2 linked regions of the Callithrix jacchus genome follow. The protein of the gene in region 1 binds, or shares a complex with, the protein of each later gene. Links are inferred from orthologs where the notes say so. Each region holds a gene or a part of one and is shown in the gene's direction. Other genes may lie near its edges.

The links. The genes of interacting proteins can lie anywhere in the genome.
Region 2: the proteins of BMP10 (region 1) and ACVRL1 are in contact, whole or in part, in a crystal structure (PDB 6SF1), measured with the Homo sapiens proteins. The link is inferred for Callithrix jacchus from reciprocal best matches to the Homo sapiens genes BMP10 and ACVRL1. Residues at the interface, in NP_055297.1 of Homo sapiens: Tyr322, Asn357, Tyr358, Pro359, Ala361, Glu362, His363, Pro366, Thr367, Lys368, Ile371, Leu375, Leu378, Lys379, Ser381, Lys386; in NP_000011.2 of Homo sapiens: His40, Val54, Val56, Arg57, Glu58, Glu59, His66, Gly70, Asn71, Leu72, His73, Glu75, Leu76, Phe84, Val85, His87.

The regions. Positions count from the first base shown.
Region 1 is NC_133515.1:45,061,373-45,069,123, forward strand, and holds the start of BMP10 (bone morphogenetic protein 10), read left to right. Parts: upstream 1-2,786; 5' UTR 2,787-2,824; coding exon 2,825-3,158; intron 3,159-7,603; coding exon 7,604-7,751. UniProt on the Homo sapiens protein: Required for maintaining the proliferative activity of embryonic cardiomyocytes by preventing premature activation of the negative cell cycle regulator CDKN1C/p57KIP and maintaining the required expression levels of cardiogenic factors such as MEF2C and NKX2-5.
Region 2 is NC_133510.1:67,565,173-67,572,811, reverse strand, and holds the start of ACVRL1 (activin receptor type-1-like), read left to right. Parts: upstream 1-2,451; 5' UTR 2,452-2,624; intron 2,625-7,371; 5' UTR 7,372-7,376; coding exon 7,377-7,437; intron 7,438-7,639. UniProt on the Homo sapiens protein: Type I receptor for TGF-beta family ligands BMP9/GDF2 and BMP10 and important regulator of normal blood vessel development. On ligand binding, forms a receptor complex consisting of two type II and two type I transmembrane serine/threonine kinases.

The DNA.
Region 1 (7,751 bases):
GTTTAAGAACCTTCACCGAGCATGCATCTCATGATATTCTGATATCTTGCGATATCTGATATATGGCTATAGTCATTTTCCTATGGCTATAGTCATTTCCCCACTGTATCTCTTAATCATCCCCAAAGATAAACATGGATCCAAATATTTAACCCTTTAGTTTTTCTAACACCAAGTATAGGTAAGCCACTGAAGTCTCAGTTAACGTTTTTATGCCCAAGAGCGTCAAGAACTAGAACTCTGCAATGTGGGATGTATGTCTCTCCCTATGACCTTTGAAATCAGTGTGCTCAGAGGTTATATGTGCCTCCACTTACACAGCTGTCCTGTGGCAGTTACACACACATGCCTGACATTCAGAGTTTTGGAGTGTGCGTTGACATCTGTGTGTGTATAAAGATAAATGGGTGCTTACTTGGATGCAAGACATGATACAAGGCATTGTTGGTATGCTGTCAGGAACCTCATGTTAAAACAAACCATCCGAGGGAAGGCTTCTGGCCCTTGGACTCACTCACTTGTGGGACTATTCAGGATATAATCTGTCTCCAGTCTACAGTTGTCTTTTCACTACGGGAGCAAAAGTTTGAATCAAAATCGAACATTAAACCAAAATCAACAGCTATTAAACAAATGGACAATTAATAGCTACTAAACAAAATATGGTTCTTTCTATGGTGATAAAAAAATGGCTGTAACACTGTACATTTTAGGAGGAAAAAGAATCAGAAGATGACTAGAAACCTAAGGGAGCCTGGAGGAAAAGCCAAGTGGAAACATTGTAGCTAATCAATTAGAATCAACATAGGATAATTTAAGATAGAAACTGAGAAAGCATTCCAGTGAACTGAGTATCTCCACAGAGCCCTCTGAACAGCACAGGATGTATCAGTAATGGAACAGGGTGCGCACTGGGCAAGTCAGAAAGATACCAGTACTACCACCTCAGGGGGAGAAACATCCCCTGGGGTTGTCCACAGGGCCACTCTGGCTGTACCACGGCTGCTACTGTCACTAGTTAGGGTGGAAAATGTGATGAACCTGATTTGTCTTTCCTAATCTGTACACACAATCAACTATACCATTAAAAAATTTTTAGGACCAAGGCATTTGGCATTTTTTGTGTGCCTGGTAATGTTTGCGAAGTGTATTAGTCAGAGTTCTCTAGAGGGACAGAGATTTGACTCAACGTCCACACACACACACACACACACACACACACACACACACACACACACACATATATATGGGAGTTTATTAAGTATTAACTCACACGATCACAAGGTCCCACAATAGGCTGTGCACAAGCTGAGGAGCAAGGAGAGCCAGTCCAAGTCTCAAAATTGAAGAACTTGGAATCTGATGTTTGAGAGCAGGAAGCATCCAGCACAGGACAAAAATGTAGGCTGGGTGGTTAGGCCAGTCTAGTCTTTTCACATTTTTCTGCCTGCTTTATATTCTAGCCTCACTGGTGGCTGATTAGATGATGCCCACCCAGATTAAGGGTGGGTCTGCCTTCCCCAGCCCACTGACTCAAATGTCAATCTTCTTTGGCAACGCCCTCACAGACAAACCCAGGATCAATATTTTGCATCTTGCAATCCAATCAAGTTGACAATCAGTATTAACCATCACACCAAGCTTTTGCTGGAGCCTCTAGATGACAATTCTGATTGAGTCAGAAGGACGAAGTTGGCAGAGATGCTGGTCATATTAAGAATTCTTTGCACAGGTGGAGGACCTGAGGTACACATCCAGCTGCAAACTGCTGTCTGCCTCCTGCCTCCAGGCTGATCTGGGGATGGGTTGGCCTCTCACCATTATTGCCCATGCCCTAGTCTGGTGAAATATAAGTGGTTTAAAGGTGTGAACTGTTTTCTTTTTCATCAGAATCAGACTGCCTTGGTTCAAACAGTGGCTCCATCATCTTACAACTTTTTGGCCTCTGGCAATCTATGGAACCTTACTGACCCATATATGTGATGGAGATAGTGATAGGGTTATTGCAGGAGCATGCTAGACGATAGACGTAAAGCACTCAGTACAATGCCTGATTGTAGGAACATCTACTAAATTTTAGTTGCCACTATAATTAAGGACTTGCCCTATTTTTCAAATGCCATTTTAGCCAGATCAAATAGGTAGGAAAGAGACTATGGATCATAAAGTTTATACTTTCTTGTTTCTAAAAATGAATGCTTGGAAAAATTTATATAAATTCATTTATAGCTGAATGAAAGTTTGGACATTTGATCTGTCTTCAGAAGTATTTATTTGAGGATGTAGGCCCTACCACTCAAATTGATATGTATCACCACTGATGTGCATTATGTTGCTTCTTATACCTATTAACTGATGTGCATTATGTTGCTTCTTATACCTATTATATGTATGTGTGAAACTAAGCCTATAAAAACGGAATTTAGACATTCCTGCTGAAAGGAAGTGAATCAAAGGGAAGAGAAGCAGAGCCTTTGCAAGGAGAAAATTGTCCTATCTTTCAACCAGTGTCAGAATGTGAAAATGTTTACAAAATGCTCATTAAAAGAAATAGGGATTACAAGATAGAAACAAATTCTGGTGCACAAGTTTACACTAGGGAGATAAGAAAGGCTAGGCCCCTATAGGGGATTTTGTTATCCAATTACTGCAACCTGACTTTTAGGGGGAGAGGAAGAGTGGTAGGGGGAGGAAGAGAGAGAGGAAGAGTTTCCAAACTTGTCTCCAGTGACAGGAGACAATTACGCCCCACAAGATAAAACTGCCACTTAGAGCCCAGGAGAGCTAAACCTTCCTGGCTTGGCCTAGGGGCTTGAGCGGAGTCATGGGCTCTCCGGTCCTGACACTGTGCACTCTTCTCTGCCTGGTGGCTCACTTGGTTTCTGGCAGCCCCATCATGAGCCTAGACCAGTCTCCTCTAGAAGAAGATGTGCCCCTCTTTGATGATGTTTTCTCAGAGCAAGATGGTGTTGACTTTAGCACATTGCTCCAGAGCATGAAGAATGAGTTTCTCAAGACACTAAACCTGTCTGACATCCCCACGGAGGATTCAGCCAAGGTAGACCCACCAGAGTACATGCTGGAACTCTATAACAAATTTGCAACAGATCGAACCTCCATGCCCTCTGCCAACATCATTAGGAGTTTCAAGAATGAAGGTAAGTTTTTGCTGATGAAATTTGGCTTGGAATTTTTTCAAGACACAATAAGTAAATTTACAATGCCTGGGAATGATATAGGTAAAGGTAAATACATCTATATAAGGATGTTAAATACATATGGATACACAAAAACAAGGTACGATTTGGTCTATACTATTTATGCAGTCATTTCAGAACCTCAAAAATACTTACAAACATCTTTTACAAACAACCCAAAGCCACAAAACACCTATCAATTTGACATTATAATTGGGTTCTTTTAAAAAATGTTAATTTGAACACCAAGTAATACAAAGCATTAATGTTGCCGTATCTTTGCCATTTTCCAGATAGGCCTTGGTTGCCTAGGTGTTTAATTAACTAAAAAATTTCTCAACTTCCACTTAGAATAAAAAGAATAAAAACAGTCAAAAAACATCAAGTTGTGATGTGTGTTTTGTTCAAACTTTTGATGTTTTTATTTTGTGATGTTGTTTAAGAAATGTTCAAACAGTATGGAAATATATTTTAGAGATTCTTCCTAAGGCTGTGTTGTTTGATGTGTCATGTACATCCTTAAAGCACTGTTTACAGTTTCCAGGAAGTGTGATTGGCCCATTAATCATCCAGCTCATCATTTCCATCTTCATGAAGAGTGATGTACAAGATTGAATTATTGGTGAGAAAAGTGTGTTTTCTTCTCCTAGGTGTTTAAATTTGGTAGCTAAATCTAATGAGTTAATTTTTTTTCTTAATAGCTTAATTTGATCCTATCAGGGGAAAGAAAATCCTGATATCTAGATACCTATGATAGAAGCTGAAGGTCCAAATAACTAATTCTTTAATATTTGCCAATTATACCATTATAGTCACTAACCAGGTACAAAAGAGGCTTCTGATTAATATTGGCCAGATGTTCTTGAAAGAAGAAAGGCAGTGGTGAAGAAACAGCTCAGGATATGGAATTTTGAGAGCTGGTTGGCTTAGTGGTTGTGAATAATTAGCTCATGTCTCAGACTCTCAATTTCCTCATCTGTAAAGCGGGGGTAATAATACCTGCATAAAAAAGTTGAGTGATTCAAAAGAGGTTACAGGTAAGAAAGTACTCCATTTGCTATGAAGTGCTGATCAAACTTCAGTGATTACTAATGAGTTACTTAATATTCTAGCTGCTGGAATAAATGCTGAGTGGGTATTCCTTAGTCCCTAAGATGTTGTTTGCCTTTAAAATTGAGTTGGCCGCCAAAAGTTCTATTTCATAACATCTTTCTCATGGAAATGGCAAGCTGAGATTACAGATTCCTTTTGGAGGTGAGTCTGAATTGAAAATGAATAACCTCCTCCTGTGAGAATCCCCCCCACCCCAATACTTCTCAAAACTGAGCCCTAAGTGTCTGGTTCAGGTGAACTAGGGTATGGGTGAGAAAATGTTATTTGCATCCCCAGAAAAGTAGAAAAGTTTTCAGTTCCTACTTCTCTCAAAGAGTATCTGGATAACTCAGGTCAGTATCTGGAGTTTACTGTACTTATTAATCCTGGAGATTATTGAGGGCAGGAACACATCTCCAGTAAACAACTGTGCAGCCTGAGGACAGAAATCACTGCACAGGGCATGCCTTGCTAGCTACTATTGCCTCTTTTCTGACTCTTTGGGTCTGCTTAATGCAGCTCCCTAGGAGACAAAGACAAAAAAAAAAAAAAGTCAAAACCTATCTCATCTTGGGAAAAAAGTGCCACCTCCAATGTGAAAAAAGCATGCCCTCAATTCCTAGCACTGTTCCTTTATCACCTTGTCATCTGGGGAAGTCAGTTCTCTGCATCAGGGCTTGATTTCTTCTGGTGCAAAATGGGTAGAGAATCAATACCTGCATTGTGGGGTCATTGTGAGAACCAGAGAAGATCATGCTTGCAAAGCACCTGGCATGAGAAATTTGTCAACAAACATTAGTTCTCTTGCCCTGAAATGTAACTCTTCCATTTACTGCTTACTGCATTTGCACATTCACAAAACTTCCCAGTGAACTTACTTTTTCAAAACAGTTTTATTGAGGCATAATTTACTTATAGAAAATAAGACATATAAAAATATTGATGTATAAAAGTATAATTGTACATATTTAAAGTGTATAATTGGAAAGGTTTTGACCTCTGTAAACATTCATTGAAATCATCAGCACAATCAAGATCATGAATTTATCCATTAGCACCAAAAGCTTCCTTGTATGCTTTACTGCCTTCCTCCTACTACAGTGAGCTTTTATTCTATACTTCTCTCCTGGGTAGAACAACCAGCCTATTCCTCCATTTTGGGTCTTCTCATGTTCCCTGTCCATGGGGAGACAAGTCTCCTCCCTTCTTAGACTGGGAGAATAAATCCTAAGCCACTGACTTAAGAGCTTGATGATGGATTAAGGTCATATGTCATGCCCATAAATCAATTTAATCTGATGCCTAAAATCATCAGCTAATCAATATTTTTAAAGCACTACCTCTGTTTAAGCCCTTATAGTAGGATAGAGACATAGAAGGGAGTTTTGAGCCATTCATACCAGGAGGATGGGAGTCTAGTTGGGAAAATCCATTCATAAAAAGATGACTGAAATACAAGGTTGTAAATGACAAGGATCAAAGGAGATATAAAGTGCTCAAGTGATTCAGAGGGGAGGGAGGGAACTTTCAGAAAGAGAAGTAAGGAAGGGAGGCTTTTATAGATGTCAGAGTTGGATAGGTGGAGGTGAGGTGAAAGGGCTTTCCAAGGGTCAGAAGAACATGTGAAAAGGTGAAAATTACAGGGGAAAAAAGAATGTTTGACAGGTGGTAAAGATGTCAATGTAGTTGAAACAGAAGGGTTTACAAATCCATTCAATTGTTCACAAATATTATTGAGTGATCACAATGTTCCATGCATTTATGGAAGCCATGGCTGATCTGGAGGCTAAGACCCAGATATAGCTGACCTTGAGAGCCATGCCAGGGAGTTTAAATTCATTCAGTAGGTTAGCATTTCCCACTGACAATGTGTAAGATGATTTTAGGTGGTACCCATAGAAAGCTATTAATTATGTGAAATCATTTCATGTGGATTTTAGCAAACACACATAAGTATCACCTCAAATCTCTCCTTTTATGAATGATGTTGCTTAGGATAAGTCTAAAATAGATAATAAGTGCAAAATAATCAGAGCAAGTTAAAGGAAAATATTAAAAGATTATAATCTGCAACAGGGACTCACTGAGATCATGAATTAAGTATATACTTGGTGAAATGCTGCCAAAGATGACAGAGAATTTCTAAATTGGTGGTCCTTAGCATCTTTGGTGCTGTGGATCCCTTTGAGAATCTGATGGCAAATGCCTTCAGGGCTTCCTTATATGCTCATTACCTGAGACAAGTATGCAGAAGCTTTGGGCTCACTGTAACTTCAGATAGGAAGTCAACATGACAGTATTTGGAGGTATGCTTCCAAGACTAAGATTAGAAGTGTGCTTCTAAGACTTTTACAGAGTTGTTTCATAAACATTCTTGAGTGAGTTGTATGTACCATACTTCATGCCAGGTGCTAGGGGTATAAGAGTAGTGCTAGGGGTATAAGACTAAGGCAACCACTCTAGTTCCAGGATTCATTTTCTCCCATTCCTCTTTACAGAGGACCATATACTCAAAATCGACTGCTGTGACCTTCTTGGTTTATGGCTGTCTTATTGACCTTGTCAGGTTTTGTTGCTGAGAACAGAAGTCAGCAAGCTTATTCTGTAAAGGGTCAGACAGATAATAACTATTTTAAGCTTTGAAGGCCATATGCTCTCTGTTGTGACTATTGAACTCTGCCATTGTAGTGCAAAAGTAGCCATAGACAATACAAAAACAATGTATGAGGCTGTGTTCCAATAAAACTTTACCCAAAAGCAGGTACCAGGCTAATTTTGGCCCATAGGCTATAAGTTACCAAACTCTGATACATATGGAAGCCTTTTAGGAAGACCAGTGCCCAGCTAACTATGTAGGGATCTCCACCCACTACAAACACAAAAATTAAAACACCATGGGGTCCTCATCCCTGACAAGAAAAGAACAATCACCACATGTCCCATTTGGTGGCTCTTTGTTGGTTAGGAAATTTGGGGACTTGCCCACACAATTTCCAAGGTCCCTCTCAGTTCTGTAATTCTGTGGCTGATGAGCTACTCAAAAGCAAGGCTGGCTAAGTTTTATCCCATCCATTAGACCCATACTTTCCATTTTAGTCTTGGCAGCTGAACTCTTTTGGGCATTCTACCACCAACCTTCTGGGATTTCCTGTGTCACAGAATGTTGACATTGTGTTTGTTCTCATTGATCTTCTCCCTTCATTCTTTCTGCATTAAGCTTAATGCATGGGAAGGCCTTCTTATTACATAAATAAGCATCTGTTTTTCTCTGAGACCCACTGCAAATCTGATTTTTGCAAATTTCTTTTTTTCAGATCTGTTTTCCCAACCAGCCAGTTTTAATGGGCTCCGAAAATATCCTCTCCTCTTCAATGTGTCCATTCCTCATCATGAAGAGGTCATCATGGCTGAACTTAGGCTGTACACACTGGTACAAAGGGATCGTATGATATACAATGTTGT
Region 2 (7,639 bases), on another chromosome or scaffold:
GAATCTCCAGGCCTCTGCTTCCGGCACTGTTGGGAAATCCTTCTGAGTATCTAAATCTAAATCTTCGTCCTTTGGGCCTGTTTCCTCTTGTTCTGTCCTCATTGAATATGGGGAACAGCTGGTCCCTCTGAGTCATTAATTCTTGTAGACTTGGACACACTCCGTAATTCCTTTTCCCTTTTCTCATTGGGATGATTCTCCAGCGCTTTCTCCAACTCTGAGTCTCTAACTCTGACACTTCCCCCAGGATCTCTGTGTGCTTTAGAAGCCATGGGGTTCACAAGAGCCTCAAAGAGCACCAGTCAGGGTCCAGAGGCCTTAGTGCTCCGGGGAGGTGGGGGAGACTCCAGCACTGATGAACAGTCCCCAGCCCCCCAGGTCCTCTCTTCCAGCTCCCAAAATGTACTCTATTTTTATCTATTTCACAAACTCTGTCCAGATAGTCTTCCATCCCGCACTGACTGTCAGAAGTGACTCTCAGCTGTTGTCCATCTTGAAGTTTCTGTGCTCAGTGTGCCTCTCAGACTGAAAACTTCCCTCTGGAAGCCCCCACTCTCGCTTCCCAGGACAGAGATTCACCAGCTGGGAGAGGAAAAGGTTGACCAGAAGCCATAGCAGAGCAGGGGGAGGGAGGGAGTGTGAAAGACAGACCTGCAGCCAGGCTCCCAGTTCTCCAGCTCATAGAGATCCCAAGTGGCCACTATAATCTGAAAGAGCAGATATCGTAATCCCATAGTACTTCCTATTGGCCTCAGGACACAGTTCTGTCCTGACACTGAAATTTGGGTGTGTCAGGGTTCTGGGAATTCACAACTTGTGAAGCAGCTGCAGGGTGGGGGGTGGGGCTTCAGCAGAGGAAGTGAGGTCAGTCAATAATTGATGCCTGCCTGAGCCTTTAGCCATTATCTCCCCCAGCCTCTATTCCTGTCAAAAGTCGGTGGGGGAGGGGTCCCTGGCTCATCTTGCAGAATCCCCATATTAGAGCAAGACACCTTAGAGGTCCACCTACTCCTGCTTCTAATACCCACATCTTTCTAAGTATCTTTGAGGCCACCCCCTCCCCAGCCTTTTCATTTATTCATTTAATTAACAAATGCCTTCATTGAGGGCCTCCTCTGAGTCAGGCTCAGCCAGCCAGCATCTTTGCCATGAGCTGAGATAAGCATCATTTCCTTCTATTCTCACAACCACCCTATGAGGCTGGCACCGTTTACTATGCCTATTTAGCAGATGGGGGACTGAAGCATGGAGAGGTGTCACTAGCTCACTAGCCTACGGTAACACAACCAGCCTGGATTCCTAGTAGGTAGTTTGACTTCAGAGTCCCTGTGGATAACCAGGAGGCTAGGACTAAGGTCAGGGTCCTGCAGGTGCTCAGACGGTTGCAGCAAAGCAAGGCAGTAAGGACAGTGCTCCCAGCCGGTGCAGGGGCACCAGGAGGAAGAGTCTGTGTCCCCCTCCCCTGCCAGTGTGAAGCCATTCTGCTTCCCTCCCCAGCTGCCTTGTGTCAGCAGTATTCCAGAGAGGCCCAGTTCCCCACCTCTATCTAAAGTTCCATTTGCTGGGGTGGGGGCCCCGCCTGGAAGGGGAAGGTCCAAGGCAGCTCCCAACGTGTTTCTCCATTCTGACTGTCCGTGGGGGAGCAGGGGTGTCTTTGTCACCCAGCTGCACAGCAGCAAGGAAGGGCACCAACCATCCTCAGGGCTAACCCCAGGCCTTCCCTCTGGGCCTGTATACCCCTGTGCTGAGCACCAATGGGGAGAGGCTGCTGAAGAGAGGAGGGGACAAATGGGGGATGAAGGGGCCTGAGGGAGGAGACTGAAGGATTTGGGCCAAATAGGGAGTTCTCGAGAGCGGAGCCAAAATTTATCTGAACTTTTGCTAGCTCCAAACTCTACGCTCACTGCTCCGAGCCTCCTAGACCGAGGACCCCGGACTGAGGGTGGGGTAAGGACAGGTAGTGTCCCTCCCTGTCCCACCCCGGCCTCTCCCTTCCTTGGTGGCCCCTTCCCCGCGCCCCGATTCCAGGCAGCCCCTTGGCTACTGTGAGCCGACCGCCCTTTACCCCCACCCACTACTCCCGCCGCCAGACGTTGCCTACAGTCTTGGCTCTAGCTCCCACAGCTGTGGGCGCAGACCCCACGGGACCCCCACGGGACCCTCACGGACCGAGTCCAAGGCCCGCCCCCTCGGGGAGGCGGATGTGGGAGGCTTGGCTCCCGGCGCGGGTCAGCGGATCCAGGAGCTGCGGGCGGCTGGGAGGGGCGGCCGCGCCGGGGGGCTGGGAGCGGCGCGGGGGAGGGTCTTGGTCCTGCAGCCCCAGCGAGGGGCGAGCGGCGGCCAGTCAGCGAGTTGGGCAATAAGGAAACGGTTTATTAAGAGGGAGTGGTGGAGCCGGGCCAGGCAGGAAGACGCTGGAATAAGAAATATTTTTGCTCCAGCCCCCTTTCCAGTCCCGGGAGGCCGCAGGGCCAGCGGCGCCGAGCCAGCCCCTCCCCGGTTCCAGCCGCGCCCGGACCCGGCCCGCCGTCCAGCTTTCGCCGTGCACCCGTGGCCGCGCGGTGGAGGGGAGGTGGCCCCGGCCGGCAGGCTCGCGCCCCGCCACCAGCAGAGCGGGCCCAGAGGTGAGTCGAGGTCCGCGGGCGGGACCGGGTGGCGGGCGGCCTCACCCCCGCTTCCGTGGGCCCTTCCTTCGGGCGGACCCGAGTCCCCGCAGAGTGGTCGCAGTAGGATCAGTCCCAGGTCATCAGGAACGCAAGCTGCCCCTGGCTGACTGCGCACAGCTGCCGGTGACCCTACCTGAGACTTGGAGGGAGCTGGACGAGACCGGACTGGAAATCAGAAACTTGGCTCTAGTCGGGTGACCTGGCTTCAGTCACATCACTTCTCTATTCTCCTACCCTCTCCATAAAATGCGCAGAGGGATTCATGTCTTGCTCTACTCACATAGAAGGGATCACACGTTCTGCCAGGCCTCTGGGTGGACCTGGAGTGAATGCCCGCGTCCACAGCTGGTGAGCCTCCCCGCAGAGCTCACCTTTCCCAGACCAGCCCTTGCAGCTGTTTGCTTCAGGAATCTGACACTATCACTACAATCCACGAGCCTCACCCCAGCCCTGCATCCTCAGGTCATCTCCATGCCACGGCCTTCCTTCAGGATCCCAGCCAAAGGCGATCCCAGTCTCCCTCCAGGCTGGGACCCCAGATTTCCCACCTGTCCTGGAGGCCAGTGCGGCGAAACCCATGGCTGGTCTGGCTGCCCCAGCTCCTCTTTCCTTCTCCAAGGATGGGGGCATCATGGACAATTGCTCTCACCCTCTCTATTGATGGGCACCTGCTGGCTGAGTCAGGGTCTGTCCTAATACCTGTCCATTCGCCTGTCCTCCCATTTCATTGGTTTGTTAGAAATAGCTATCATTGATTGATTACTTACTAGTAAACACTTAGATATGTTTTTTCTCATGTAATCCTGGCCACAACCTAGTGGAAAAGGGGTTACTATGCCCATCCTACAGAAAGGAAACAGACTTGAATAACTTCTCCGAAGCTCCTTGGATAGTGGGGTAAATGGCATGGTTGGGGTCTTGATAACATTTAAGTGCTTACTGTGTACTACTTAGTACTCTGCTAAATAATCTTACTACATTTTACCTATGAGATAACACTGTTATTATTCCCATTTTACATATGATGGGAAGCCTTAGCCTCAGAAAGTTTAAGTAACTTGTCTCAAATCTCATACCTCTAAGTGGCAAAGGCAGGACTTGAACCTAAGCCTCCATGGTCCAAAGCCTACACCTTAACCTCTGTGCTATACTGTGCTGCCCCTGTGGTCTGCCTGAGACCTGAAACTCCAGCCTTGTTCTGCTGCATCACCCTGCTGTGAGGGGCTAATAAATCACATGGATGAATTGTGAGGGAAACCCAATATGAACAGCTGGGTCTGGTCCTCTGCTGTTGGGATAAGGTCTACTGAAGTGCAGAGTGAGCCCAGAAGCTTGTGCTTGACATGGTGCTTCTCCAGCCCTGTGACAATCACTGCTGTGCTGAGCCACTGCCACTGATGGGAGTGGGTCCTTCAGGTGTGCTGCGGAGAAAAAGGTGGATAAGCAACTTTAAGGCATGCCACTACTCTGGCTCCCCCCACCTGAGGCTCAAACTTTGACGAAGCCTATGGCAATCAGATGATTTCTAGGCAGCAACCCATCTTTGTTGCCTGGGGCAACATAGTGAGACCCTGTCTCTACCAAAAAGTAAAAGATTAACTGGGCATGGTGCTGCACCCCTGTAGTCCTAGCTACTTGGGAGGCTGAGGTGGGAGGCTCACTTGAGCCCAGGAGTTCAAGGCTGCAGTGAGCTATGACTATACCATTGTAGTCCAGCTTGGGTGACTGAGCAAGACCCTGTCTCAAGAAAAATTAAAAACAAACAAAAACACTGTCTGCATTTAAACAAATCTAAGTAGGGCATCTGTTAATAACAGCAGCGGACAATTTGTTTGTGTCCACCAAAACCCACGTCTTTTTCTTCCTTCGAGGGATTCATCTAAACAATTGGAGGAATAACAACAACCAAGGAAGGATTTATCAGCAATTTAACTTTATTAAGACACGCTTGGTGACTATAGGCAAGAGACTTAACATCTTCGAGCCTCAGTTTCCCCCATTGGATTGTTGCAATGATCAAATCAGATAAACCATTAAAGTTCAGTACTTAGCACATAATTAGTACTCAGAGAAGGTTAACTGTTATTATTTCATGGTGTTTAGCTAATGTTTGAAATTAGTTTAACGTTTGTAATTTCTGGCCAACAACAGTGATGCTTCTGTCAGCAGGCGATTTTTCTCAAAGTTTTGCTCAGAAGTGAAAGGATCCCGCCAGACCCCAGGAGTCTGTTTGTGCTACGGTCAGGTTTCAGGGCAAATTGCACAGGGTCAGCTCTGAGTTTGGACTGGTCAGGACTCAGCACCCTCCCGTACTTGACCTCACACTGGGCCCAGTTAAACATTGGGCTGTTCCAATTTGACTCCATCATATTCCCAGGATGAGACCATTGATGGGTCTGCAGACGCAGCCAAGCCTTGCTCCACAGCGCCACCAAGTCCCGGCTTTGGTGTTAGCCCCGGCTGTCCCTTCTCCTCTAGGAGATGGGGAGGTTCCTGGGTGGGAGTGAGTGTCCCCTCCCTCTGCATCCCACTCCCACTACCCAGCAGGGCCCTGCAGAGCAAAATGAAAGCAGAGGAACCAGACTTCACGTTGTGCAGGATCTGTTTCTCAAAGAGTGGTGCCCACACAAATGGAGCAGAACTCCCTGGGGAACTTCTAAAAAAGTGTGTGTTTCTTGCTGGTTCCAGGACTGAATCAGAATCTGGAGTGAGGTTGAGACCAGTGAATGTGCTTTTCTAATTGAGAACTTCAGGTGATTCTGATGTGTGATAACGTAGAAGGAGGGTGGACAGGGCCATGGTCATCAGAGAAGCAGAGGTACGGACAGAGGGTCCTAGAGGGATGCTGGATGTGAGCCTTATTGTTAGTCACTTTTTTCTTCTCACCTCAAACCCTCTCCTTTGCAGCTTCCTGGGCTAGCACAGGCTGCCAAGGATGGCTTGCTGCTAGTACCCCAGTGAGCAGACTCAGCTCCTCTGGGGCGCTCTCTCCATCCCATCCCACCTCCAGTCCGCCGCACAGTGCTCACCAGAGTCCTCACTGGCTGCGGGAGGGGCAAGAGGCAGGAGGTCAGGCAGAGTCTGGGGACACAGCTGCAGCAGCCCAGGGCTCTGTTTCCTTTCCCAGCCTGGGCCTCTGGGGCAGAGGAAGCCCAGGCAGGAAGGCCAGAGCTGCCACCAGCTAGAGAGCCCCAAGAAGCCCCCACCACCTACCCCCAGCCATACTGCCCTCGGCGCCTCAGCGTCTTGGGTTTTCATTTGGCACCATTCGTAAACTATAGGCCTTCTGAAGCTTCTGTGGCCATATGCCCAGCCCTACCAGCCTCACCACGTCATGCCAAAGGACAGTCTTCCTCCCTTGTGCCTGAGGATCCAGTCCCCAGACACACACACCTGCACATGTGCCACCATTCAGAAAGTTCTTGCTGCTGTCTGACCAGGGTCCTTCTTGCTGCAGCTTTAACCCATATCTTCTGGTTTTAAACCTCGGAGAAATGAAGACTGGGTGGCTTCAGAAGCACTAGTTGGTGTGGGACCTGGATTGGGGATGATCCTAGACCAGAATTATTCCAGGCAACAATCTCCACCAAACTTCTGGAAAATTCAACCCTAGTCAGCCATAGAAGGTCAAACATTCAGTGTCTAAGTGTGTTTCACTTCCCCTGCCACATCACTGGGCCTCCCCCACCCTTTCCTAGATGGCAAGGAGAGAGAAGGGGGCCAGGGAACGGCTCAGAGAGCTTATGCTCCTGTGAGGCTGCAGAGAGGTTCCTCTGCACGTGGCGTGACCCTGCGCCGTCCAAGCTTTGCGCGGTCGTCACAACCCTGAGGGCTCAGACATGGGCTGCCAGCACTGGGTAGGGATGGGACTAGGAGTCTGGAAACCTGGGTTGTACTCCTGCTGGTGCCAGTGAGTCCTGTCTGACCCCAGACAAGTCTTCTTCCCTGTATGGGCCTTAATCCTCTCTTCTGTGAAAACAAGGAGCTGGAATTTGTGATTCACAAGATGTCCACCTAGAATTCTGTCATGTGGGTGTCCCAGGCACAAGCAACTAAGGGAAGCAGGGAACTAAGTATTTAAGTAGCCCCTCCAGACCTTGTGGCTGCTGCAGCCTGCCCCGAAAATATGCCCTCAGTTCACGGCTGTGCGTGACTCCTGTCTGGTCTATCCAGACCCCAATCTAAACAATCTTGATTCCTGTTCCTGACTTGGCAGGACCCTGAATGGCAGGAAGTGAAGACAGGAGCCTGTTTATGTGTGAGGCAGCCAGGGCTGGGGGGGCACTGGGAAAGGGTAGGCAGGGGTGGAGGCTGTGAGGGGGTGGGCAAGGGACACAGAACAGAAGGGGAGCTGCTGGAGAGATGCTCCTTCTACCCCAACTGGTTACTCCCTGCGGCCCTCCCAACCTGCCTCCAGTCTGAGCTCCGCAGCAGGGGTGCAGAGCTGGGGTTCCCCCAAGCTCTCAGTCACTTAAACATGGCTCTCCACCCTTCACCTCTAACAGGATGGTTTCCATGGGGAAGTGAACCAGGACTTCCCCTGCAGGCCCCGCCCCAAAGCCAGGCGTCAGGGAGTAGGGAGGCGGCCTCCCTGCCTCCCCTCCAAAAAAAACTCTCTGTGATTTCCTCTGGGTGGGAGGGAGCCACGGCTGGCGGCTGTCACATTTTGCAGCTCTTACTCCACTTCTCTTGCTCCTCTCTGCAGGGACCATGACCTTGGGCTCCCCAAGGAGATACCTTCTGATGCTGCTGATGGCCTTGGTGGCCCAGGGTGAGTACTGGGGGAGCAGTTAGAAAACAGGAACCTGGATAGAGAAAGGGCTATCTGGGCCCAGATCAGCTCTGGCTGGGGCTGAACTTGAGAAGCTGGGGAGAACTTAGGAGCTTGACTGGAGGGTGGGGGACAGTGAGGCTCCATTAGACTCAGCCCCCAGCTACCCCAGCCCTCCTTTGCTCTTCTCTTGGTCCAGACC